2 linked regions of the Struthio camelus genome follow. The protein of the gene in region 1 interacts with the protein of each later gene in a pairwise test. Links are inferred from orthologs where the notes say so. Each region holds a gene or a part of one and is shown in the gene's direction. Other genes may lie near its edges.

Region 1 (11,814 bases):
CTGTTTTCTAGCTACAGTTTCAGGGGTAAAGCAACTTCTATATAGCGGAATAAAAATCTGAAAATAGGACTGACCATGATCATGGTGAATTAATGCATTTTTTTCTAGTTCTCTTCCACCCCTTTTCTCAAAATACATAAATCTTAGTTTTAGTCAGCTCTAAGTTTTTCAACACCTCCATTCAGTTAACACATCTAATTCTTGCTGAATCAGCAAGGTTTTGTTTTAGATGATCAAAAAAAGCACTTAGTCTAAAGTGTACTGCACAGGTGAGGGAACTGGAGAATTAAATCTTATTTCCACCGTATTTGCTGGTGGAGTAAAAATGCTGTCTCTCATTACATTTGTTTAAATGGATATCCTACCTGTAACTCTAAGGGAAAGTTTTTAAATGAGGAAACAGTTGCAATGGGAGTTAATGGGGTATTGGGATATTGTTCATGGTTTAATTAAATACAAGGTTAATTCAAGTGAATTTTACAGTTTAAACTTTATTGAAAGATCCTTTTTGATTTGCTCAAAACCTTAAATAAATTGCACTTTAAAGGATTATAGATAATCCATTTTTAAATTCAAGTACATCAGTGTTTGTTACTATGCAGAGAATGTCTGTACAAAGTTTCATGTAACCTGTGATATTCAGTCATTTTTATTAAAATGTTAATGGAATTCCTCCAGCAGTGTGTTGGTGGGTGCATTCAGCTAGGATTTCACCTGCAAGCCAGACTTCCCAAGAATCTAATAACACTTCTGTCTACTAACGGGAAAATACAATGAAAGTTTAGTTCTGACAAGTTCCTGGCCTGCAACTGAAACAGGACCTGAGCTCTTCTGTTTACTTGCAAAGGTAAGCACTCCTCCCCAACAGCTAACTGTAAAAGGCAGTTTATCCTTGGTATAGAGAAGCCACACTGCACAGCTCCTGTAGGCAGCCTTCACTCTGTACCAGGCCAGTAACAGAAGCTACTTCACAAAAACCTAACAGAGCTCTTGTCAGGACCGGCCCCTTAACTAAACACAGGTGTGAGCTCATCTGCCTGAAGGCTACGGCAACTGTTTCCCACCTCTTGCATGAGGATTTATGTCTCCTACAAACTGTAGACAAAGGATGTACTACCCCTTCAGACCCAGGCATACTGGACCTCAGTAAAAAGACTTACTCTTTATTGTAAGAACTATAATTGAGAGTGCTGTTAGCCCCTGTGGCAAGTTTAACAATGCATACATCTTGGCAATTCAAAACACTTTTACTGCTTTAGGTGGTAACTAGTAAAGAAAAATTAGGTATTACTTTCCACCACAGACTGATCAGGATCTTTATTTAAGCCCTTGTGCAGAAGCTTTACTGCATGAGACAATAGTTCTCTTCAAGCTGAACATGTTGGCCATCTCTAACACATACCAGACTTCTAAAACCACTTTGTACAGATGCGCTTAAGTTGTCACATTGAAAAACAAGACTTAACTCACTCTGGTTTAATCATTCACCTTTAATAAGCCTTGCTAACACAGGCTTCAGGCCCCCCACTGCTCACTCCAGTTCTTCACCTGACCACCACCATAGTCAGTTGAACACCTCTAGTCTGATAATTATGAGACAAGCAGAAATAGAGGATTTATTCCTCACTCTGAATTTAGAATAGGATTTCTCCATATACAGTAACACCAATCCACTTGTACTGTTGAAGTACAAGCTGCCTTACAAATAAGCATTACCTCATCACTGCTTGGAAGTGTGGCTTAGAAGGTAACCCCATTACACAAAGCCATATAAATATTCTGGGAGGTCATATTTTTTCCACTGTACAAAAGTTGATGTAGCTATACAACAGTTATGCATTCAGCTTGCCATACAACATTAATGCTTTTTAAAGCAGAACTTTAAAATATGTATTTACAACTTAGATATTTAATGTTTTCTTTACTGCAAATATTATATCCTTCACTTGAGGTATGCAGTTATCCTCTAAAATTTTTGCATAAGGCATAGGAACATCTGCACCTGTAACACGGACAGCTGGAGCATCCAAGTAGTTAAAGGCAGGTCCTGAAACAGAAGACAGCTGTCAGTTTGCCACTTACTCTGGTTTTCTCTCAGTTCAATTTCTGAGTCCTAAACAATTTCCTTCTTATAGTTTTAAGATTTCAGAGCTAGCAGTTCCTGCTCGCTTGTCTTCATGCGCTAAGATTTAGATGCAAAGTTACTATCCCGCTTACTACACAGTCAGATTCTTAGGATAAGAATTATTCACAGCTGCTCTTCCATAGGCAAGATCCAGAGCAGCAGCAGACCAGCTTCTACCCTGTGACCATCTCTACAATGAGATGGCTAAGCTCCAGCTCCTCAGATAAAAGACCCCAACTTGACCTTATCTCATTATCTGCTCTTGGCTTTATCAAGCAGTTTATGAAAAAGTCATCAGGATTTAGACTTACAAATTAGATCAACAGGGATGTTGCAAAATTAAGTACCTTCCATGATCCTGGCACAGATTTCAGCTCCTACTCCAAACTGCGGCCAACCTCCTTCTACAGTTACAAGATGGTTTGTCTTTACAACGCTGGCTTCTATTGCTTCAATATCCATTGGTCGAATGCTACGCAGATTTATAACCTTAAAAGAAAGGGACTGAATCAGTTTTGCTATGATCTAAGCCTGTCAGTTACTACTGTTGGGTACCACGTCCTTTGTCACGTTCAGCTATTCTGACTTTGAGGATCAGACTTAAAAGTCAACAAAATTACAAACTTTTTATCCCAGCAGACTTTTTATGGAACTGTTTGTGATGGTTCCTGGAAAATCCCAGATAGATGAGTCTTGCTATATCTAGATCCAGCCATGCTGATTTATATAGTGTACTGTTCAGTGGACCTAGCTGTATGATAATAAGCAGAAGAGCTTTAAACATTAATTTTGTGATTAAAAGGTCAAATGCAGAAACACGAAACATGCTTGGTTCACTGATTATGAAGGCATTTACCAATGGGCCTGAACAAGACACGCTGCTTTTTTTCCAGTCCATGGAAAGGGGAAAGCAACAAAAAAATCCCTACACACCTCGCACTCTACACCTTCTTTGGCGAGTACAGCAGCGGCTTCCAAACAGTGTCCAACAGGTCTCGAGTGTGACACTAAAGTAACGTGAGTTCCTAGAACAGAAACGAGAGAGAGAGACTTAAACTTTTCCTCTAGCCCCCGTGCTCTTTTTAAGGTAATGTTAGGATTCTCTGGTAAATTTAAGTATTTAGCACTTAAAATAAATATAAGGAATTCTACAGCCACAGCGTGAAAAATGGCAGTGGAAGGACTATGTCAAGACACAAACTACACCCCTGAATTCAGGGACCTGAAGAGAGATCGAATATACTTCTTAGATTATTCCTTTTAAACCTTCAAGTAATTCAGTGTTAAATTATGAACAAGCTGAAAACCTACAGTGCTTTCCCTTGCATTTTTAGAAAAAAAACCCCAACAACTACTTTCTCAAGTGGAGAAAGAAGTTTTCCAGGCATTACCTAATCCATCCTTATAGAGAAAGGAAGTCTTTTGAAAGCAGGACAGCGGGACAAAGAATATCAAGTGATCTTACTTTATAAAGAGAACAGAAAAATACAGAGCCCATAGGATAAAATAACATTTAGCATTTGAAGTGTATTCCTGTTCCCTGTGAAAGTAGTGTTTTAAGTCGGTAAAAGTTTAAAAAAAAAAAAAATCTCCCCAAGCAGTTCAGTTAGTAAGAATATATTAACTGTGTTCTCAGCTTACCTTGCCTTTCTATTTTGGCTTTTCCAATTGGAACAACAAAATCCTTTGACTGTGCCTCTTCTGACAATTCAAAGGGAACACCATACAGCAGTTCATTCTCCAGCATCACAACTAGAACAAAACTTACTTGGATTATTTTGTAGTTCTACAGCACAGGCCTATACTGAGGATAATAGCACTAGAGCAGACTACCTCAACTAGGAGCTGAATATGTTTGTAGGGGGAGAAAAAAATCCCAGTTTTGACTTCACTACTGAATTATTTTAAATTTTAAATTAATTGATTAGAATTGGTCTTAAGCAGGACTGAGCATTTAGCTTGTGGTGCATAATGGTAATAGGTCTTAATACAAAATTTAAGGTCCTTAGAATTATTCTAAAAAAATCATGAGGATTGTGAATTAGGCAAACTAGGTTGATAAAGCTAACTGACGTACAAAGCCTCTGTTTTTTAAAAAAGATAATATTGTAAAGTTTATAGAACTGAATGTACAACTCCAACTAGATCAAATGAAAATGGGAGGGGTCATGGTCTAGAGACTGTTTTTGCAGAATTGCTAGTTTTAGAAAGGTCTTAGATTTTGCATGCATGCTTACGAGGAAGGAAAACTGAGGCTGCCCTGCTCTCAGAAAATGGCATGATATTCATAACATCTGAATTTCAAGATCTGTAAAAATGAGTTACGTACTCAGACACTATATATGCAGAACTCCTCCCTGACTGATTTTTATCCTCTTAAATTCCTTTATGACAGATTCCTAAATGTTTCTTCCCAGATTGGTACCGAATTAGGATTAAAGCACTAGCACAAAATTACAGTCTACTACTAGCAAGCCACATGATTCAGGAAAGTGTCAAGTATCAGAATCGATTCCTCTGTGCCTTTGCAAGTTACCTTAGAGTAAAGCAGTCCTAAGTGTTTTAGGGTTTTAAACTTTTTTTCTTTTTTTTTAAATGGGATGTGAGGGGAAACATGAAGAGACATTTTTTAAAAAAACTAATGCTAGCTGTTGCCATGATCTGAGTGTATTCACCTGGATTATCATCCCGGATTGATGCTTTAAGCAGACCTTTCGCATCTTCTGAGCTCCATGGACTAACAACTTTCAGTCCTGGACAGTGCCCATACCAAGCAGCAAAGCACTGCGAGTGCTGAGCAGCGACCCCAGCTGATGCCCCGTTGGGGCCCCTGAAGACGATGGGCACAGAGATCGATCCTGCAGACATGTAACAGGTCTTGGCAGCAGAGTTTATGACCTGATCAATTGCTTGCATGGAGAAGTTGAAAGTCATGAATTCACACACTGGCCTCAACCCAGCCTATTAAAGTCAGGATATATATTAGTGCCTTTTTACATAAAAAGAGCTTGTTTTAAAGAGTTTAATTCAGGAGTAAAGAAACTTAAATGTACAAACCATAGCAGCACCAACAGCAATTCCTGTGAAGCCCATCTTAAACAGAAAGAAACCAAGGGTAAGCCTTTGGGAGCAGCAGGCAGAAGGGCGAGCAGGGTAAGTGACAGGCGAAGCCGTACCTCCGATATCGGCGTGTCGATTATCCTCTTGTCCCCATACTTCTTCCAGAGGCCTCGGGAGATCTGCAGAGAGAGAGGAGAGAAGTCAGGGCCCGCAGGAGGGCCTCTCCCCGCCTCTTAGCTGCGGCCGCTCACCTTGTAAGCGCCATCGTACTGCGCCACCTCCTCGCCGAGCAGGAACACCCGCTCGTCCCGCTCCAGCTCCTCGTCCAGCGCCTGGTTCAGCGCGTCTCGCACCGTCACCTGCGGCACACGCACCCTAGCACAGCGGGGGCACCGCCCGCACCCCGGGGGGGGGTCACCCCTTCCTCCCCCTCCTCCTCCTCCTCCTCCTCCTCCCCGCCTCCCGCCGCCCCCCTCCCCGTACCTGCATGGCGGCCGGCGCCGAGAGCCGGATCCCCCTGCGCAGCTGCAGCAGCCGCCCGGCGGCGGGACCCTGCGGAGACAAGGGGGACGGTGAGAGCTGAGCGGCGGGCAAGGCGCGGCGGGGGCTGGGCCCGGCCCTACCTGCCGCCCGCCCGGCACCAGCCGCCGCAGCGCCCCCGCCGCCGCCGCCGCCATCTTGCCCGTGTCCTCTAGCGCCGAGGGGAGGGGGGGGGCAGGCCCGCGCGCCGCCAGTGACGTCGAGGCCCCGCCCCCTCGGCGCCCCGGCAACCGCCGCGCCCGCCCCGCGCTCTCGCGAGAACAGGGGCGCACCGCCCCTTCCGCTCCCCCGCGGCCGCCCGGCCCGTTGGGGCCAACCGCCGGCCCACCCTGCGTTTACGGGGCGGCGCAAGGGTCAAACTTGTGCGCGGGGGGGGGGGGCCGCCGGGACGGCTCCTGGCCCCACCGCCCCCTCCCTCGACCCGCCCCCTCCCTCCGCCCTGCCCCGAGCCGAAGCGCTCTGAGCGCTTTTACCCTCTCGCCCCACCGCCCCGCGGCCCCCGCTTGTGCCCAAGCTGCTTTCGCCCGCTTGCCCCAGCCGGGGGGCGGGGCCGCGAGAGGCGAGGGCGGGGCTTGCGGCGAGCCCCGCCCCTCCGCCCCGCCTCGCCCGCGGCGGCGGCTCAACTCCGGGCTCAACTCAGTCGTCCTCTCCCTGCCGCTGCCGCTGCCGCCGCCGCCGCCGGGCTCCGCCTCAGCGCTGGCAGCTGCGCCCGTGAGTGCCGCGCCGGCCGCCTGGGTCCTCGGGGGGGGGGGGCAGGACGCCTGGGCCCCGGGGCGGTGGGGCAGGCGCTGAGCGGGCTGTGGGCCCGGCTGGGGCAGGGGCCCGCCGTGCCGTCGGCCGGGGGGGGGGCCGGGGGCCGGGCCGCGGCCCGGCGGGAAGGAGGAAAGGCTGGGGCGGAAGGCGAGGAGCGCGGGTCTGTGTCTGGCGGCTGCTGTGCTGAATCACCCTCGTGTCGGCGGCAGTTTCGCTGCCGCAGTCTCGCCGTGATGGAAGGTGGCACTTCCCAGGCTCCTCCTGTGCAGGCCCGGGCCCCTCTCAGGGAGGGAGGGAGGGAGGTGCCACCATCCTGCCCTGGCTGCTGGGGCCCCGCGCTTGGTCCGGCCCTGGTGCGCAGGGGAGCTCTGCCTCTCCGACAGCTGCCCTGCCCCGGGGCCGTTTGGAGCCGCGGCCCCCCGAGCAAGCACCTGCGAGTGGATGTTCCACGGAAGCAGAAGCACACGGCTGCACCCCGCCCCGTTGTGGCGGGCGGCGAGGAGCGCGCTGGCGCGGCGGGTTTCAGCAGCGCGGGGCCGGCAGGGACGGGCCCGATACGGGTCTCTTCTCTTGGCCCTCGTCGTGAGGTGAGGGCGAAGCGGTGGCGTGGCGTGGGCTTTTCAAGGAACGAGCGGTTACGAGGAAAGTTTGGGAGCTGGACCTGAAACAGGATGTTGTGGAGCTCCTCAGCGGAGGGAAGAAAACTTTGGGAGCTTGGAGTTTGTAGTGAAGCAATTAGACATAAGGCAATGAAATGCCGAGTGGCTAGCGCGAGCGTTTTATTCTTCTGCCTGAGTTGAGGTGTAAGTATACTAAAAAGAAACTAAGGAAAAACAAGATTACATTAGTTTATAATGAACTGCCTTAGTCATTATAAGTTTGATGTGTTTAGAAGGCGATGGGTGCCTCCTTGAGTGAAGCAAATCTGTTGAATTACCAGAGCAGTTGGTAACTTGTTTTAAGACAACATGTCCTCCTCGCTCTTTCTCGGCTAAGGCAGTGTGGTGCTGTATCATCATGGTCTCGCTCTATAGACTGTGGTCTCACTGCACGGTTTTGTGGAGTAGAGTCATTGCTTGTTCTAGTTTAGTTTTTGTCAGTTCACGTGTCTCTGTGATAAGAGATTTACCGTAAAAACTCTCCTGTCAAACTCTGTAACTGGATCAGGAGCAGGGAGATTGTTCACAGATGTAACGTAACTGTGCTCAGAGCTGGAGTTCTGGTTCTCATCCTTGGAGATCTAAATGTCAGAGACAAGGATCTCACTGAGTGGGTGTGAGTAGCTTCAAAGACTGAGTATGTTTATCTGTACAAGTACAGAGCTAGCTTTGCTCCTTTTAATTTTTTAAGTTGCTGTTTGTGCAATTCCTGTCAACTTTGTCTCGACCTAGAAATCGAAGATGCCTACTGAGGTTAAACAGTTTGTCCTACAACACTGGTACCAAATCGTCCATTGAAGACTAGAACTAAAAGCGAGTCTTTTAATTCCTTTGTTAGAAAACCTGGATGAAAAACATTTAGAGCAGACCAGGTGGTGCCTGCCTCTTGACTTCTAAGCATTAGGTATATTTCTACTCCTCCTCCATGTAACTGCATGTGATAAAAATGCTGTCATTTTCTCCAGGAGCAGTGTGATAACCTATTCCCTTGACCCAATGCAGTATACACAGTGCTAGCAGCAAAAAGGCTTGGCGATGCCGCTGGCTTCCCCTGGGTCTGAGTTGGACCCACGTGTGTGTTTTCACAGATGCAGACCTTCAGCTGACTCTCACTTGCTTTTTCTGAATCTCAGCCTGCAAAATGGTTGCATGCTAGTAGCTGTCTTCATGGGAGAAGCCTTAATCAAGTTAATGGGACTACTGTTGCAGTAATGTTGCTAGTAAATAGCCTTGTAATCCTCTGAGTCATAAAATATTAAATAAGACTGAGAGTTCTATAAATGCAGGTCCCCCATTCAGTATATTGAGCATGACACGATGACTTGAGGGCTTTTCATCAAAGGCGCTTGCCTCTCGTTGTTACTTTCTAGTTTTGGATGCGCTCAATGCTGCGATAAAATGAGATGACCGTATTAACACTGTCTTATCTTCTCCTCACCCCCTAAAAGAGCTTAAGGAAAGTAGGACTGTGGTTTGACTCAGTCAGTGCACTTCTGCTCTCACCAAAGAGCAATATTCTGTTTGGCTTATATGGTGTCAGCAGTTTACCTGGCTAAATTTCATCTCAAATGAATATTTCTTATGATTATTAAACACAGGCTGTGTTGGGATACGCGTGCGTCTCGTCTCTTCTTTGCTGTCTGGACGCAGGCTGGCCTCCTTAGATCATCTGTTTGCGTTGTGCGTCTCGCTGCGATGCTAGCTTTGCCAGGTACGTCTGTGCGTGTCTAGTGATTCTGGACTCTTATACAAAGATCAATGAGGCTTCTAGATGCCACTTATTTATTGAAGGCTGGGGTTGTTTCAGCTAATTGTTCTCATAAATTATTTGCTCCAGTGTTATGCAGTGATGCTGTGATCAAACATTAGCTCCTGTCTTCATACTGACAGGCAGATGTAATTTGTTTCTTTTCCTGAATGATAACTGATAAAGAACGTCTTGACTGATCTGTACTGGGGACTCAGATGCTGGCCAAAATAGCACAGTATTCATCCAATCATTTAAATAACTCTGATGGATATCCGTCTTTCAAATACTCTGAATGTAATTTCTAGTTAACTTAATATTAAGACTGCAGCTCTATTCGCTTATGATAATCAGTGGAATTTCTGGATGGCTGCATTGTTTTACCTTCAAGCGAATGTTTTACATGAACACCAGAAACCTACTCCAGTCTCTCTCATGGTTTTACTGCTTCTGCATGCTATGTCGGGGTTGTACTTGATCAAAATAACAACTGCAAGTGCACTTTTCCCTGGAAATTAAAAAGAATTTAAAAGGTCTGAGCTAATGATAAAAGCTAATGATTTGTACTTGTATAACAATGCAAAATAAAGAAAAACCTGAATAAATTCACTTCTTGGTATGTCAGCAGTAATAAAAAAAAAAATTATAGAAGTTGGCAAAAGAGCTAGAATTCCAGGTTTACCTACTGTCAGGGAGGCATCATTTAATATACGTTCTCGAGGCATGCTCCATCTCTTAATTTGTAAAAATAGGATGGTGGTATGACTAGTTCTGTATCTTAATTCCTTAGTCTTCTGTTGTCTGACCTCACAATTTCATATGCTGGTTTTATTTTTTCTTCTCTTGATGTGTCTGAAATGCAGTTGAGGCTGTGTACCTGCTGCTGGCCCCCAAAGGCCTGACCTTTTGAAAGCCGTTCTGCTTAAACTCAGAGTTTGGGCATGGTGGCAGAGTCCAGAGAGGTGGGATATGTCGCATTGTACTGCGGTGAATGATACTGACCTTGTTTGCCAGGAATGAGAAGGGCAAATAATTTTTTGTTCAAAATTAGCTGTGAACCTTTAATTATTTGAGAAGGTAGTACTCCATCTTGGCTTCACCTTCATACGTCTCTTTGCTGGGTGACTGCAGGTTGAAGTATGTTAGTAAAGAGGTTGGTCTCTACTTGCAAGCAGAAGTCTTGGTAAATGTGTAGTCTTTAAGATATAAAAAATAAAATCCAAAAAGCTGCACCCCGCTCAAAACACTGTCCTAAATTTTCAGTGATTCTAGCAGAGATGCAGACTCCTGTATAGGGAATAAAGGCTAACTGGCAACTGGCTTCTCTCTCTGTGCATCACTCAACACACGGTCCACAGGCCCCCTTGGGAAAGCCTGTGCTGGTGTCTGGAGTTGCTCGTTCCCCCACGCCGAGTTGCATAAACCAGGGTGTGGAATTCCCCTTGCTGCCCTCGGTGGAGGGAGTCCCCCTGATATGTCAGTCAGTGGTTCAGCATCTTCTAGGAAGTTTCGGCATGAACCACTTCTCGATTTGCTTTTGTTGGAGCGTTGTTGAAAGTGTGCTTGATATCCTTTTGCTTGTCCCTAAAGAGATTTCTTTCGAGAGTTTGTATGTGCCTGTGAAATACATTTGTGCTCCTTCTCTGTAGATTAATGTTCTTCCTATCAACTGCAGTTCTCCGCTATTAAATTATTAACTCCACAGTGAGATTCTTTTTTCATATTGTTCATGACTTTCATGCTTGATTTATTCTTCTGCATAGTCTGAAACTGGACTATGGGAATTCTGACTAGTATTACTGGATCACAAGTATGACCTCAATGCAGGCTAAATAAAGTTTTTAATTGGGAGAAGGACATCTGTCTTTCCAAGCGAGAGGTAGTCCATTTGTGAGCATAAATTATCCTTAAAGACACGTTGCTTGTTATTTAACAAAACTGGGCTGGATGGAACAGCCGGTGAAGTGATTACAGTGTGCTCTGGAGAAAGTCCTGTGGGTAGCGTGAAGGGAGATGCAGGGAAATGCTTGTTTGTAGATTCTTCCGCTAATGCGGCTTTGAAGCTGAATGCAAGACATGCTTCCCTGGCAAAGAGGCCGCTTTTGACTAGAGAGCGTTCCCCTCAGTTGTTCTTGTAGGTACTTATAGTCTGCCATGTTTTGTCCTTTGTTTTGTGTTTTTGTGTGTGCTTTTTTCTGCAGGGAGAAAATAGGAGGTGAATTGTGTATCCTTCCAGAAACCTTCTGTTAAACTTGGAGTGCCACAGTTCAAGCAATAGAACAGATGGATAATGGAGACTGGGGATATATGGTAAGTGATCCAGTATAAACGTGTTTGTGTGCTGAGCAGTACAACTGGGCTCTCAAGATCGTGAGGTAAGAGTGCTTCCAGATCTGTTTTGTGTAGCATCAGTCAAGTGAAAAGAAAAAATGTGCATGTTACAACAGCTTACTTGCCTTCTCCTGTGTGATTCACCTTACGTGTTATTGGTGGGAGATCTCATATTTCCCAGCTAAAAATCAGCAAGTACTTAACTGACGTTTTAAACTCATTGTTACCGTCTTCCTAATATGCAAAGACTGAAAAGAGTTTGCTTCCTGCATATGGTTTTAAGGGCTTTGTAATTTTATTTATGAAGAAAAATATTTTTCCTTGCAAACTCTTTCTCAAACTAGACAAACACGTCTTATTTTTCTCCTCTTCTCTTTCTCTAAACGTTCTGCTGCCGTCCATATGTTTCTTTTCTCTGGCTGGCCTCCGTCCCGATTGTCAGAATCGGTGGCCAGATGGGATTTATATTCCTTTCTCTCTTGTTTCCTCATGAGTGATCTGGGAGCTGATGCAGAATAGTTTGGTGCTCTTTCCCCTCGTCTATGCAGCATGCTAATTTGCTAATAAATGTTTCTTTCTAGAGTTAAAAGCTGGAAGTT
Region 2 (11,308 bases), on another chromosome or scaffold:
GCTGAGGGGGAAACGGGCCAGCCAGTGGGTGCTGGGAGATCCCAGCTCAGCAGGGGGACACAGCCAGGGCTACAGGATGACGCATGGCGGGCGGCTGTTGGTGATTTTCTCGAGTGGTTCCCCATTCCTAGCTCTGCGAATCGCTTCGATCAGCTGAGGAGACAGAGGGGAAGGGGTCGCGCTCACCAGCCAGCCTCGAGCAGCAGCCCGGCTTGCGTCGCAGACAGGCGCTTCGCAGGGGGCCGCAGCGGCCTGCAGCACTCAAATGCCCAAAGCGCAGCAGACGCCACGTCGGCCCCAGCGCCAACCACCGGGCTGAAGGGACAAGAGAGGAGCCCCAGGAACCTTCCCCTGCGTGAGCGGCAGCTCAGGCTCACACCCGGAGCGGCTGCTGCCGGGGGATGCAGGTGGGATCGAAGCGTGGTGGGAACGTGAGGCTTCCCCATGCTCCGCAGAACTCACAGGTGATGAAACGGAGACACGGAGAAGCCTCAAAAGGGAAAAACCGGTCACAGGAGACCTTGCTGCAAAAACAAGCCTCCCTCTAGGGCCCATCCAAACCGGCTGACGCAAGGAGCTTGCTGGGCCCCGGTACTTACATCCTTCTCGTAGGGAAAGCCTCCGTTCTCCAACTTGGAGAAGACCAGCTGCCCATTGATTTCAATCTCAAAGGCACCTTGAAAACACGCAGAGCCGAGCTGTAAGCCGTGCTGCTGCCCCACACTGTGCTGTTAAACCCCACACCAGTCCCGTAACCGTTCCTGTCACTGCAACAAGCGTCTGAGAGGCAGAAACACCGCAGCTGGGACCAGGTTATCTCCAGACCTGCCAGAACATACCCTCCACGGCAGGACTGGGCCAGCAGGAGGCAGAGCACAGGGCAGCAGCCCCCAGAGAGATATGAGGGCTTCTGCCTTGCTCCGGGCAGACCCACAGGCTCCTGAAAGCCTCTGCGTCCCCAAAGACCGGGGTGAGGGGCAGGGACATCCCCCATGACGTGCAGCTATCGTGCAAGCAATGCACAAACCGCCCCAGGAGCCTCGACGCACAGCTCAAAATCAGAGACCCATCTTCACCCCTAGCGTTAAACCCGTTCAGCCCCTCCACTCTCCCCACACGTTACCGAGGGATGGGGCTACGAGACTGCAGACTGTGACAGGGCCAAAACTACTGTAAGAGCAGCGGTGGACAAACGCGTGGCGCTCGCCACAGCCCCACGGAAGGGCGAGCGCAGGGCCGTACCTGTGCCCCCGAGCCGGGACTCGATCTCGATGTCGGGGTACTCCTCCTTCACGGCGCTCGCCAGCTCCTGGTACGTGGGCTCGAACCCGCAGGGCTCACTGGGTGCAGCAGGGGGAGAACCGGGGTCAGGAACAGGGGCACGGCTGCGGGAGTGGGGAGCAAGGGGCACCCCGACAGCACCCCCCACCCCGTCGCCCCCAACCCCAACAACCTCCTGACAGCCCCCCAAGCCAGCATCCACCTCCCCTGCGCTGCCGGCCCCCCGCGCCCCCTCCCCAAACCCCTCCAACCCCTCTGAGCCCCCCCCAGGCCCCCACCCCTAAAAAGCCCCTCAGCCCCCCAAACCCCCCTGCACTCCCCCAGCCCCCCCTCCAGCTCCGACCCCCCCAGCCCTGAAAGGCCCCCCCAAACCCTGCTACCAGCCCCCCGCTCCGGCTCCTCCGCACCGCCCCAGCCCCCCCCCTCACACCCCGAAAGGCCCCTCAGCCCCCTCCGGCTCCCCCAAATCACCCGCTTCCCGCCGCCCCGCAGAGGCCTCTCCGCCGGCCCCCGAGCACTCACCAGTACTCCACCACGATGCGGACCCGCTGCCCGGCCCCGGTCGTCGCCGCCGCCGCCGCCTCAGTCCCGGCCTCGGCCCCGCCGCTCATGGCCGCCCCGGCCGCCACCGGCTGCCGCCCGCTTCCGGGTGACGCCCACGTGAGCGCGGCGCTTCCGGCCTCTCTGCCCCGCCCTCTCGTCTGCTCCGCTCGGCGCCGGCCGCGCCCGCCCCCTGCCGGCGGGAGGAGCGCGCAGCGGCGGCTGCGGCCCGACGGGGACCCCGCGGGAGCCTCACGGCACCCACGAGAGTCCTAGAGCACCCGCGGGAGCTCTATAGCACCCAAGGGGGTCCCAGAGCACCCATGGGAGCCCTGTAACACTTATTGGAGCCCCACGGCACCCACTGGAACCCTAGAGCACCCACGGGAGCCCCACGGCACCCAAGGGGGCCCACTGCACCCACGGGATTCCTAGAGCACCCACTGAAGCCCCACGGCACCCACTGGAGCCCTGTAACACCCACGGGAACCTCACAGTACCCACGGAAGCCCCAAAGCACCCACAGGAGCCCCAGAGCCTCAGAGCAGCTATGGGAGCCCTGTAACACCTCCTGGAGCCCCACGGCACCCACGGGAGCCCTGTAACACCTACGTGAGCTGCACAGCACCCACGGGAGCCCTAGAGCACCCAAGGGGGCCCCAGAGCACCCATGGGAGCTGTAGAGCACCCAAGGGGGCCTTATGACACCCATGGGAGCCCTGTAACACCCACGGGAGCCCCATGGTACCCACAGGAGTCCCAGCACACCCACAGGAGCCGCAAAGCACTCATGGGAGCCCTGTAACAGCTGTGGGAGCACCATGACCCCTGCAGGAGCCCCAGAGCACCCACAGGAGCCCTAGAGCACCCAAGAGAGCCCTGTAACACCTACAGGAGCTCCATGGCACCCATGGGAGCCCCACAGCACCTGTGGGAGTCCCAAAACACCCATGGGAGCCCTGTAACACCTATGGGAGTCCCATGGCACCCACGAGAGTCCTATAGCACCCACGGGAGCCCCAAAGTACCCACAGGAGCTCTATATCACCTATGGGAGCCCCATGGCACCCACAGGAGCCCTATAACACCCACGGGAGCCCCATGACACCCATGAGAGCCCCAAAGCATCCATGGGAGCCATCTAGCACCCGCAGGAGCCCCACAGCACCCACGGGATCCCCATAGCACCCACAGGAACCTCATGGTACCAACGGGAGCCCCACAGTACCCTCAGGAGCCCTATAGCACCCATGGGAGCCCTGTAGCACCTTTGGGAGCCCTATAGCAGCCATAGGAGCCCCACACCCCCCTCACAGCCCCCAGGGGACCTTCTGGGTCCCCCATGTCCTAGCAGGTCCCCCACATCCCCGTTCCACATCCCCCCCCACACTGTGGGGCCCGCCCCAGCCCCCCAGGCTCTCCCCAGGCCCCCCGAGCTGCACCCAGCACCCTGGGGGGCCCGGACACCTGGGTTCCCACCTGGGCTTCGCCGTGTTGGTCCTGGGGGAGGGGGGGGGCCTGCCCCGGGGCGTTGTGGGAAACTCCCCATCACGGTGGGGGGGGTGGCGAGGAGCGCGGGGCCGGGGCACCCCAGGGTGGCGGGCGGGGGCCCTGGGCGCGGCGCCCCACGGCGGGCGCCCCACGGCGCGGCGGCCGGGCGGCGTGATGTCAGGCGGGGGCGGGAGCTGGCGCAGGTAGATAAAGGCTGGGGAAAACAGGAATGCCCAGCGCGGCGGGCGGGCGGCGGACGGCGGGCGCCTGCAGGTAGGAGCCGGCCCGGGGGGCCCCGCGCGGGGCCCCGGCACCTCGCGACGCCCCGGACGCCGGGGCCCAGCTCTGCTGGCCTCCCCTCCCCGGCCCTCCTTCCTCCCCGCTCTTCCTCCTCCTCCTCTCCTGCCCGGCTCGGCCTCGCCGCCACCCTGCCCCTGCACCTTGACACCCCCTGGCCCTGGGGCCCCCAGAGCCCTGGACCCCCGATGTGGGGCCTTGATGGTCCCTGATCCCCTGCCCCATGGCCCTGGTGGTCCTGGACCCCTGCCCCATAGTCCTGGTGGCCCTGGTCCCCTTGCCCCAGAGCCCCATGGACCTGGTCCCCTGTGTGTCCCAACCCCAGGACACCCCATGTTTCCCCCCCCACCATCACCACCATCACAGCTGGGGGTGTTGGGCTGCAGGGCCAAGGCCGGCATCAGGGTGGCCTGAGGCCACGGTGAGAGGCTGGCAGGTCGGCAGCGGAATTGTGCCACTCCCTGCAGTGTCCCCCCTGCCCCCATGTCCCCCATCCCCCTTGCACGGCCCCCCCCCACCCCCGTTACCCCGGCTGGGACGGGCCACGGACAGGGCGTCACACCAGGATGGGGATGGGGACGTCACACCGGGATGGGGACATCACAGCGGGACAGAGACGGGGTGGCACACTGGGATGGGGACGTCACACCGGGATGGGGACAGGGATGTCACATCGGGATGGGGACGGGGACGTCGCAGCAGCCCGGACCGCATCGGCCCTGGCGTGGCCGTGGACTTGGACCCCGAGCGGGCTGGCGGGAGGCGGGGGCCGCAGGCTGCCGGCGCCGGTGAATGATTAAGCCGGCGGGCGGGTGGCGGGGCCGGCGGTGCCCGTGCCGGGGCCAGAGGGGTCCCGCGGGGCGTCCGAGCCTGCTGGCGGCCGGCGAGTCACCGTGCTCTGGCACGGTACGCGTGCTGCGTGCCGGCCGGCCGCGCCGGACGGGCTGGGCCAAGCCAGGGGCCGCGCGGCCGCCTGCCCACCCGCTGCCGGGAACCGTCTCCCTGCTTTGGGGCCGAAAGGGCGAGAGGCCGGGGATGGCGCAGCGTGGCCCCGGCCGGCTCGGCGCCGTTCCCGCGGCGGGCGCGGGCCCCCGGCCCCGCGGCGCTGCCGGCCCCGGCCCGGATGCCAGCGCGCTGAGGTGGAGCTGGGAGCGGCCGCCAGAACTGGTTTGGCCGGACGCGAGGAGGTGTCTGGGCTGGGCTGCGAGGCTCCGCTTCCTCCTGCCGCCGCCACCGCCGCCGCCGCTCCGCCGGGCGCTGCTCGGCTCGGCTCAGCTCGGCTCGGCTCGGCTCAGCTCCGCCTGGTGCTGCTCAGCCAGCTCGGCTCAGCTCGGCTCGGCTCGGCTCAGCTCCACCTGGCGCTGCTCGGCCGGCTCGGCTCAGCTCAGCTCCGCTGGGCGCTGCTCGGCCAGCTCGGCTCAGCTCGGTTCAGCTCGGCTCGGCTCGGCTCAGCTCCGCCTGGCGCTGCTCGGCCGGCTCGGCTCAGCTCAGCTCCGCTGGGCGCTGCTCGGCCAGCTCAGCTCGGCTCAGCTCGGCTCGGCTCAGCTCTGCCTGGCACTGCTCGGCCAGCTCGGCTCAGCTTGGCTCGGCTCAGCTCCGCCTGGCGCTGCTTGGCCGGCTCGGCTCAGCTCGGCTCGGCTCGGCTCAGCTCAGCTCCGCCTGGCACTGCTCGGCCGGCTCGGCTCGGCTCGGCTCAGCTCGGCTCCGCTCGGCTCAGCTCCGCTGGGCGCTGCTTCGGCCAGCTCGGCTCGGCTCAGCTCGGCTCAGCTCAGCTCAGCTCCACCTGGCACTGCTCGGCCAGCTCAGCTCAGCTCGGCTCGGCTCGGCTCAGCTCCGCCTGGCGCTGCTCGGCCAGCTCGGCTCAGCTCGGCTCAGCTCAGCTCGGCTCAGCTCAGCTCCACCTGGCACTACTTGGTCTGGCTCTGCCTGGCCCACCTCGGCTCGGCTCGGCTCGGCCCGGTGCAGTGCAGCCCAGCCTGCTTGGTCCAGCCCGGCTCCGCTCTGCTCAGCTCAGCCCGGCACAGCTCGGCTCAGCTCCATCTGGCTTAACTTGTCTCTCCTTGGCCTGGTTCAGCTCAGCCCAGCCCAGCTCAGCCCAGCCCAGCTCAGCTCAGCCCAGTTTGGCTCAGCTCGGCCCTGCACGGCTCGGTTTGGCTCGCTCGGGCTCGGCATGGCTCATCCTTGCTTGGCCCCAGCTCGACTTAGCTCAGCCTGGCTCAACTCAGCTCGGCTCAGCCCGGCCGGGCTCATTTTAGCTCAGTTCAGCCCGGTTCAGCCCAGCCCGGTTTGGCTCAGCCCAGCTCGGCTCGGCTCGGCTCACCACCGCCTCCCAGCAAAGCCCAGCGGCGGAGCTGGGGGTGTCAGGGCGCCCGGTGGCGATTTTGGGGGATTCGTCCTGGGGGGCCGCGGTCGGCTGCCGCCACCGGGAAGCGGCTCCCAGGGTGGGGCAGCGCGTGGGCGGCCAGGGATTCTCGGGCGTCTCGTACGAGGTTGTGCTGGCAGGGGGGCACGCGCGCCCCGTCTCCCCGGCTGCCTCTTCCTGGAAGCACGTGGGTGTTTGAGGCTGATTTGGGTCCTAAAGTGATCGGGGCTGGGGCAGGAGGGACAGCGGGAGACCCGGCGGAGACGCCACCACCCCTGGGCGCAGCGCGAGGTGCAGGCCTGGCTCTTGCCCATCGCTCGTGGCCTGTGGAGGCAGCTGGCGGCCGGGTGCCTCCCTCTGGCCGGCTCCCGCGGGCTGAAGTGCAGAGCTGGCTGGTGTCCGGCTGCGCGACCCCCCGCCGGGGTCCCCCAGGGACCCGCCGAGCTCCATTCCCAGCACCCTGATCCGGGCCGGGGTTTCCTGGAGACCCAGCCAGGTGCTGCCCCCTTCACCCAGGCACCTGGGCACCCGCAGCCTGCAAGAGCCGGACTGGATCCCTGCAGCACGGAGGGAGCGGCCTCCCTGGGGCCAGGCCCACTCCTGCCACGAGCTGGCTGGGTCTCAGCTTGAATGGGGAGAGACTGGCGGGATGTGCGGGGTGAGGCTTTGGGGCTGTGTCCCTGCCCCTCTGCTGCCCCGTTCGCTGCTGGGGGGGGGGGGGGGGCTGGTCCCCAGGGACAGCGGGGAAGAGGCCTCGGAGGCATCGGAGGCGGCAGGCTGAGCCCTGGCGCACCGCGGAGGCAGATCTCCAGCTGGGACGGAGCTCAGGCACCGGCTGCAGCGCCGGGGCACAGCCCCGCGGACACCCCCGGCCTCGGCCCTCCCGCGACACCCCCAGCCCAGGGCCGGGGACGTGGGCCGGGAGCAGGCCGGGTGCCCGTCGCAGCGGGGCAGGAGCGAGCCGCGGGGGCAGGTGGGGCCATGCTGAGTCACCTCGCCGCACGCTGACTCACCGCTTGTCTGGGCGCCGGGGAAAAACACTGCCCAGGCGGGTGCCAGGGCGGGCTGCCCCGGGCAGCGGCGGGGCCGGCGGCTGGCGGGGTGCACGTGGCGTGGCGGGACCCCCGCCGGCTCCTGCCGTGCCCGCAGCCCAAAACTCCAGAGCCCGCTCTCCGGCCCCCAAGCTGGTGCGAGGACCCAGGCGTCCGGGCCTGGCCGGGGCTCGGGGCGGCGTTCAGCTACAGGACCTCCCCCTCTCTGCCCCCAGATAATGCCATGGACGGGGGGGCTGAGCCGAGCAGCCCCCTGGAGCCCCCCGGGGCGGGCGGCGCGGAGCAGGAGGGGGCCGCCAGCCTGCCTGGCGAGCGGGACGCGGGCGAGGGGCCGCCCGCCGCCGACGTCAAGCGCTCCCAGCCCCTCTTCATCCACGCCGGCAGGTCGGTGGGGGGTCCCGGACGCCTGGGTCCACCCGGGGCAGTGGGGGGTTGGAGTGCAGGTGGAGGGAGGCAGGAGCGGGCCGGGGGGCCGGGAGCTGCCGCGGCCCCGGCGCCCTCAGCCCCTCTGCGCCCGCAGCCGGAAGCCGGCGCTGGAGGAGCCGCGCGCCTCGTCGCTGCCCTGCATCCCCAACCCCTTCCCCGAGCTCTGCAGCCCCTCCAACTCCCCCATCCTGAGCAGCCCCGCCGTGGGGCAGGGGCCCCCCCGCGAAGGCGCCTCCCACGTGAGTCTCCCGGGCACCCCGCAGTTGTCCTACCCCGGGTCCCTTCCTGGCTGTGGCTTGGGGCAGGATGGCGCTGGGGCTGAGGCCTGATGCACTCATCACGGTGGGGGGGGCCAGGGCTTGCTGGTGGGGATGGACCATGGGGGAGCTAGGGGAGGGACTGGGTCCCCTGCAGTGCTGCTAGCGCCGGGCACATCCTTGCCGCTATTTTCGTCCCCAGGAGAGGGAGGGAAATGGGGAGGGGGCCCAGGCGTCCTGGGGGACCCCATGGGTGGGGGACACGGCGGTAGTGCAGCCGTGAGGGGTGCACTCGGACGCTGGGGTCCTCGGGAGGTGAAACCTCTCCAGGTGCCACCCACGACCAGCGAGGGACCCCCAGCTCTGCCCCATCCCCACGGGAGAGGGGCTGGCAGGAGGCAACTGGGGGCCCCGGGCGCCGGGGGACCCTGAGCACGTCCCCGGCGCGTCCCCGCAGGTGGTGAAGGTGTTCAGCGAGGACGGCGCGTGCCGCTCGCTGGAGGCGTCGGCGGGCACCACGGCGCGGCAGCTCTGCGAGATGCTGGTGCAGCGGGCGCAGGCGCTGCACGACCACAGCTGGGCCCTGGTGGAGCTGCACCAGCAGCTGGCCCTGGGTGAGCGGCGACGGCGCGGCCTGGCGCGGCGGCCGCGGGGCCGAGGGGTGGGCACGGCGCCGGGCACGGCGGGCGGTGAGCCGGCGCTGAGCCCCGCGCCCCGCAGAGCGGTGCCTCGAGGACCACGAGTCGGTGGTGGAGGTGCAGGGAACGTGGCCCCTGGGCGCCGACAGCCGCTTCGTCTTCCGCAAGAACTTCGCCAAGTACGAGCTCTTCAAGAGCAACGGGGTAAGCGGCCGCGGCGGCAAACGCCACCGGCACCCGGCACCCCACGGGGACCAGGATGCCCCGCAGGGACCCAGACACCCCACGGGGACCTGGGCACTCCGTGGGGAGATGGATGCCCGATGGGGACTGGGACGTCCCATAGAGACCAGGAGGTCCCATGGGGACCTGAACACCCCACAGGGACCCAGGCACCCCAGGGTGCTCCATGGGGACCCGGGCACCCCGTGGGAGCCCCAAACGCCCCATCCGTCTCCACTGATGCCCCTGTCCCCCCCCAGCAGTCCCTCTTCCCGGAGGTGATGGTGTCCAGCTGCCTGGAGGCCAACAAGAGCATGGCGCACTCGGAGCTCATCCAGGTAGGGGGCCACCACGCCACGGGGGCTCGCCGGGCCGGGGGGGACCCCGCCGTCACCCCTCGTCTCTCCCCAGAACTTCCTCAACTCCGGGAGCTGCCCCGAGGTCCAGGGCTTCCTGCAGCTGCGCGAGGGCGGGCGCAAGGTCTGGAAGCGCTTCTACTTCTCCCTGCGCCGCTCGGGGCTCTACTACTCCACCAAGGGCACGTCCAAGGTGAGGCCGCGGGGACGGCGGGTGCGAGCCCCAGGACCCACCCCGCAGGGCCGCCCCGCTCGCCGGCACCCGCCTGACGCCCCCTCCCCGGCCCCCCAGGACCCCCGGCACCTGCAGTATTTCGCCGACCTCACCGAGTCCAACGTCTACTACGTGACGCAGGGCAAGAAGCACTACGGGACGCCCACCGAGTTCGGCTTCTGCATCAAGGTGGGGGGCCCCCTCTACCCACCCGGCGGGGGCACGCCGGATAGAGCAGGGAGCACCCAGATGCCTGGGTCCCCTTTCCGAGTCTGGGGGCTGGGACTAGGCACCAGGACTCCTGGGTTTTGACCCAGCTCCTCTAGGGGGTCTCAGCACCAGGTCCCCCCACGCGGGGGGCTGAGGACCCTGCTGGGGCTGCCCCGTGACAGCGCTGGCCTCTCCTGGCAGCCCTACAAGGTGCGGAGCGGCACGAAGGGCCTGAAGCTCCTGTGCAGCGAGGATGAGCAGAGCCGGACGTGCTGGATGGCGGCTTTCCGCCTCTTCAAGGTGAGCCCGGCCCCATGGCGGAGGCGTGCGGGGTGGCTGCTCGCCCCCCGGCCCTGTGCCGGATGAAGGTCCCTGTCCTCAAGGGATGCCGGATGGATGTCAGGGTGGATGCTGGACGGCTGTCCCCATCCCTGTCCTTAAGGGATGCTGGACGGAGGTCCCCATCCTCGTCCCTAAGGGATGCTGGATGGAGGTCCCCATCCTCGTCCCTAAGGGATGCTGGATGGAGGTCCCTATCCCTGTCCCCAAGGGATGCTGGACAGATGTCCCCTTCCCTGTCCCCAAGGGATGCTGCATGGATATTCCCATCCCTATTCCTAAGGGATGCTGGACAGATGTCCCCATCCCTGTTCCCAAGAGATGCTGGATAGACGTCCCCATCCCTGTCCCCCACAAGGGATGCTGCATGGATATTCCCATCCCTGCTTTGCAGGGATGCTGGACAGATGTCCCCATCCCTGTCCCCCACAAGGGATGCTGCATGGCTGTCCCCATCCCTGTTTTGGAGGGATGCTGGACAGATGTCCCCATCCCTGTCCCCCAGGGATGCTGCATGGCTGTCCCCATCCCTGTTTTGGAGGGATGCTGGTTGGATGCTCACATCCCCAAGCCAGATGAAGGTCCCCATCCCCAAGGGATGCCGGATGGATGTCTCCATCCCTATTCCCGAGGGATGCTGGACGGATGTCCCCGTCCCCGTGCCGGGCAGGCACCCCTGCGGGGCCGGCCCGGCTCACAGTGCTCTCCCCGCAGTACGGCATGCAGCTCTACCGCAACTACCAGCAGGCGCAGGCCCGGCTCAGCCAGCCCCCCTGCATCGGCCCCACGCCCCTGGTGAGTGCCCGGCCCCTCGGCCCCCCGGCCGCCCCGCGTTGGGGCTCCCGACCCCCGGGGTGCTGCCGGCCCGGCCCGGCTCCCCCCAGCTCTCGCCGCCCCCCGCAGCGGAGCGTGTCGGACAACGCGCTGGTGGCCATGGACTTCTCGGGGTGCACGGGCCGGGTGATCGAGAACCCCAGCGAGGTGCTGACGGCGGCCCTGGAGGAGGCGCAGGCCTGGCGGGTGAGTCCAGGGGGACGGGGGATATGGGAGGGGTCGCCCTGGGGCCCCAGCCCCCCGCTAACACCCGCTCCTGGCTTTGCACTGCCAGAAGAAGACGACGCACCGGTTCAGCCTGCCGGCGGCCTGCCAGACCTCGCCGCTCAGCGTCGGTGAGCAGCGCCCGGCCCTGGGGTCCCATCCCACCCCGCCGGGCTGCAGGAGTCCCGCATCCCCGCCCAGGGGGGGTCCGGCACCCCCAGCGGCTGCGGGTGCCCACACCGGGGTGCCGGGCTGCCCCAAGGCCCCCGTGCGTAAAGCCCGTCTCCCCGCAGCCATCCACCGCACCCAGCCCTGGTTCCACGGGCGCATCTCCCGCGAGGACACCCAGCGCCTCATCGGCCAGCAGGGCCTGGTGGATGGGTACAAACCCGGGGGGATGCGGGACCCCTGGGGGGGATACGAGACCCTGGGGCTTGCCAGAGGATGTGGGAGCCCTGGGAGGGATATGGGACCCAGGGTCTCACAGGGGGATAGGGGACCCCTTGGGGATAGGGGACCCATGGGCAGATCACAGGGGGATAGGGGACCCATGGGCAGATCACAGGGGGATATGGGACCCATGGG

What was found.
Region 2: the proteins of KCTD6 (region 1) and GRB7 interact in binary tests that used the Homo sapiens proteins (3 or more experiments, as listed by UniProt). The two-hybrid records come from large-scale screens. The link is inferred for Struthio camelus from reciprocal best matches to the Homo sapiens genes KCTD6 and GRB7.

The regions. Positions count from the first base shown.
Region 1 is NC_090955.1:10,378,005-10,389,818, forward strand, and holds the start of KCTD6 (BTB/POZ domain-containing protein KCTD6), read left to right. Parts: upstream 1-6,171; 5' UTR 6,172-6,436; intron 6,437-6,588; exon of another isoform or gene 6,589-7,065; intron 7,066-7,975; exon of another isoform or gene 7,976-8,041; intron 8,042-8,735; 5' UTR 8,736-8,848; intron 8,849-8,857; exon of another isoform or gene 8,858-11,085; 5' UTR 11,086-11,167; coding exon 11,168-11,194; intron 11,195-11,814. Other genes in the region: PDHB (pyruvate dehydrogenase E1 component subunit beta, mitochondrial), read right to left, coding at 1,902-2,047, 2,473-2,614, 3,059-3,150, 3,767-3,877, 4,801-5,086, 5,183-5,218, 5,302-5,364, 5,437-5,544 and 2 more. UniProt on the Homo sapiens protein: Probable substrate-specific adapter of a BCR (BTB-CUL3-RBX1) E3 ubiquitin-protein ligase complex mediating the ubiquitination and subsequent proteasomal degradation of target proteins.
Region 2 is NC_090966.1:6,643,754-6,655,061, forward strand, and holds the start of GRB7 (growth factor receptor-bound protein 7), read left to right. Parts: upstream 1-5,506; 5' UTR 5,507-6,601; coding exon 6,602-6,629; intron 6,630-7,238; coding exon 7,239-7,407; intron 7,408-7,543; coding exon 7,544-7,688; intron 7,689-8,163; coding exon 8,164-8,320; intron 8,321-8,426; coding exon 8,427-8,548; intron 8,549-8,826; coding exon 8,827-8,904; intron 8,905-8,977; coding exon 8,978-9,115; intron 9,116-9,214; coding exon 9,215-9,325; intron 9,326-9,547; coding exon 9,548-9,646; intron 9,647-10,399; coding exon 10,400-10,480; intron 10,481-10,588; coding exon 10,589-10,705; intron 10,706-10,793; coding exon 10,794-10,854; intron 10,855-11,016; coding exon 11,017-11,104; intron 11,105-11,308. Other genes in the region: MIEN1 (migration and invasion enhancer 1), read right to left, coding at 374-490, 600-676, 1,243-1,340, 1,804-1,892. UniProt on the Homo sapiens protein: Adapter protein that interacts with the cytoplasmic domain of numerous receptor kinases and modulates down-stream signaling. Promotes activation of down-stream protein kinases, including STAT3, AKT1, MAPK1 and/or MAPK3. Promotes activation of HRAS.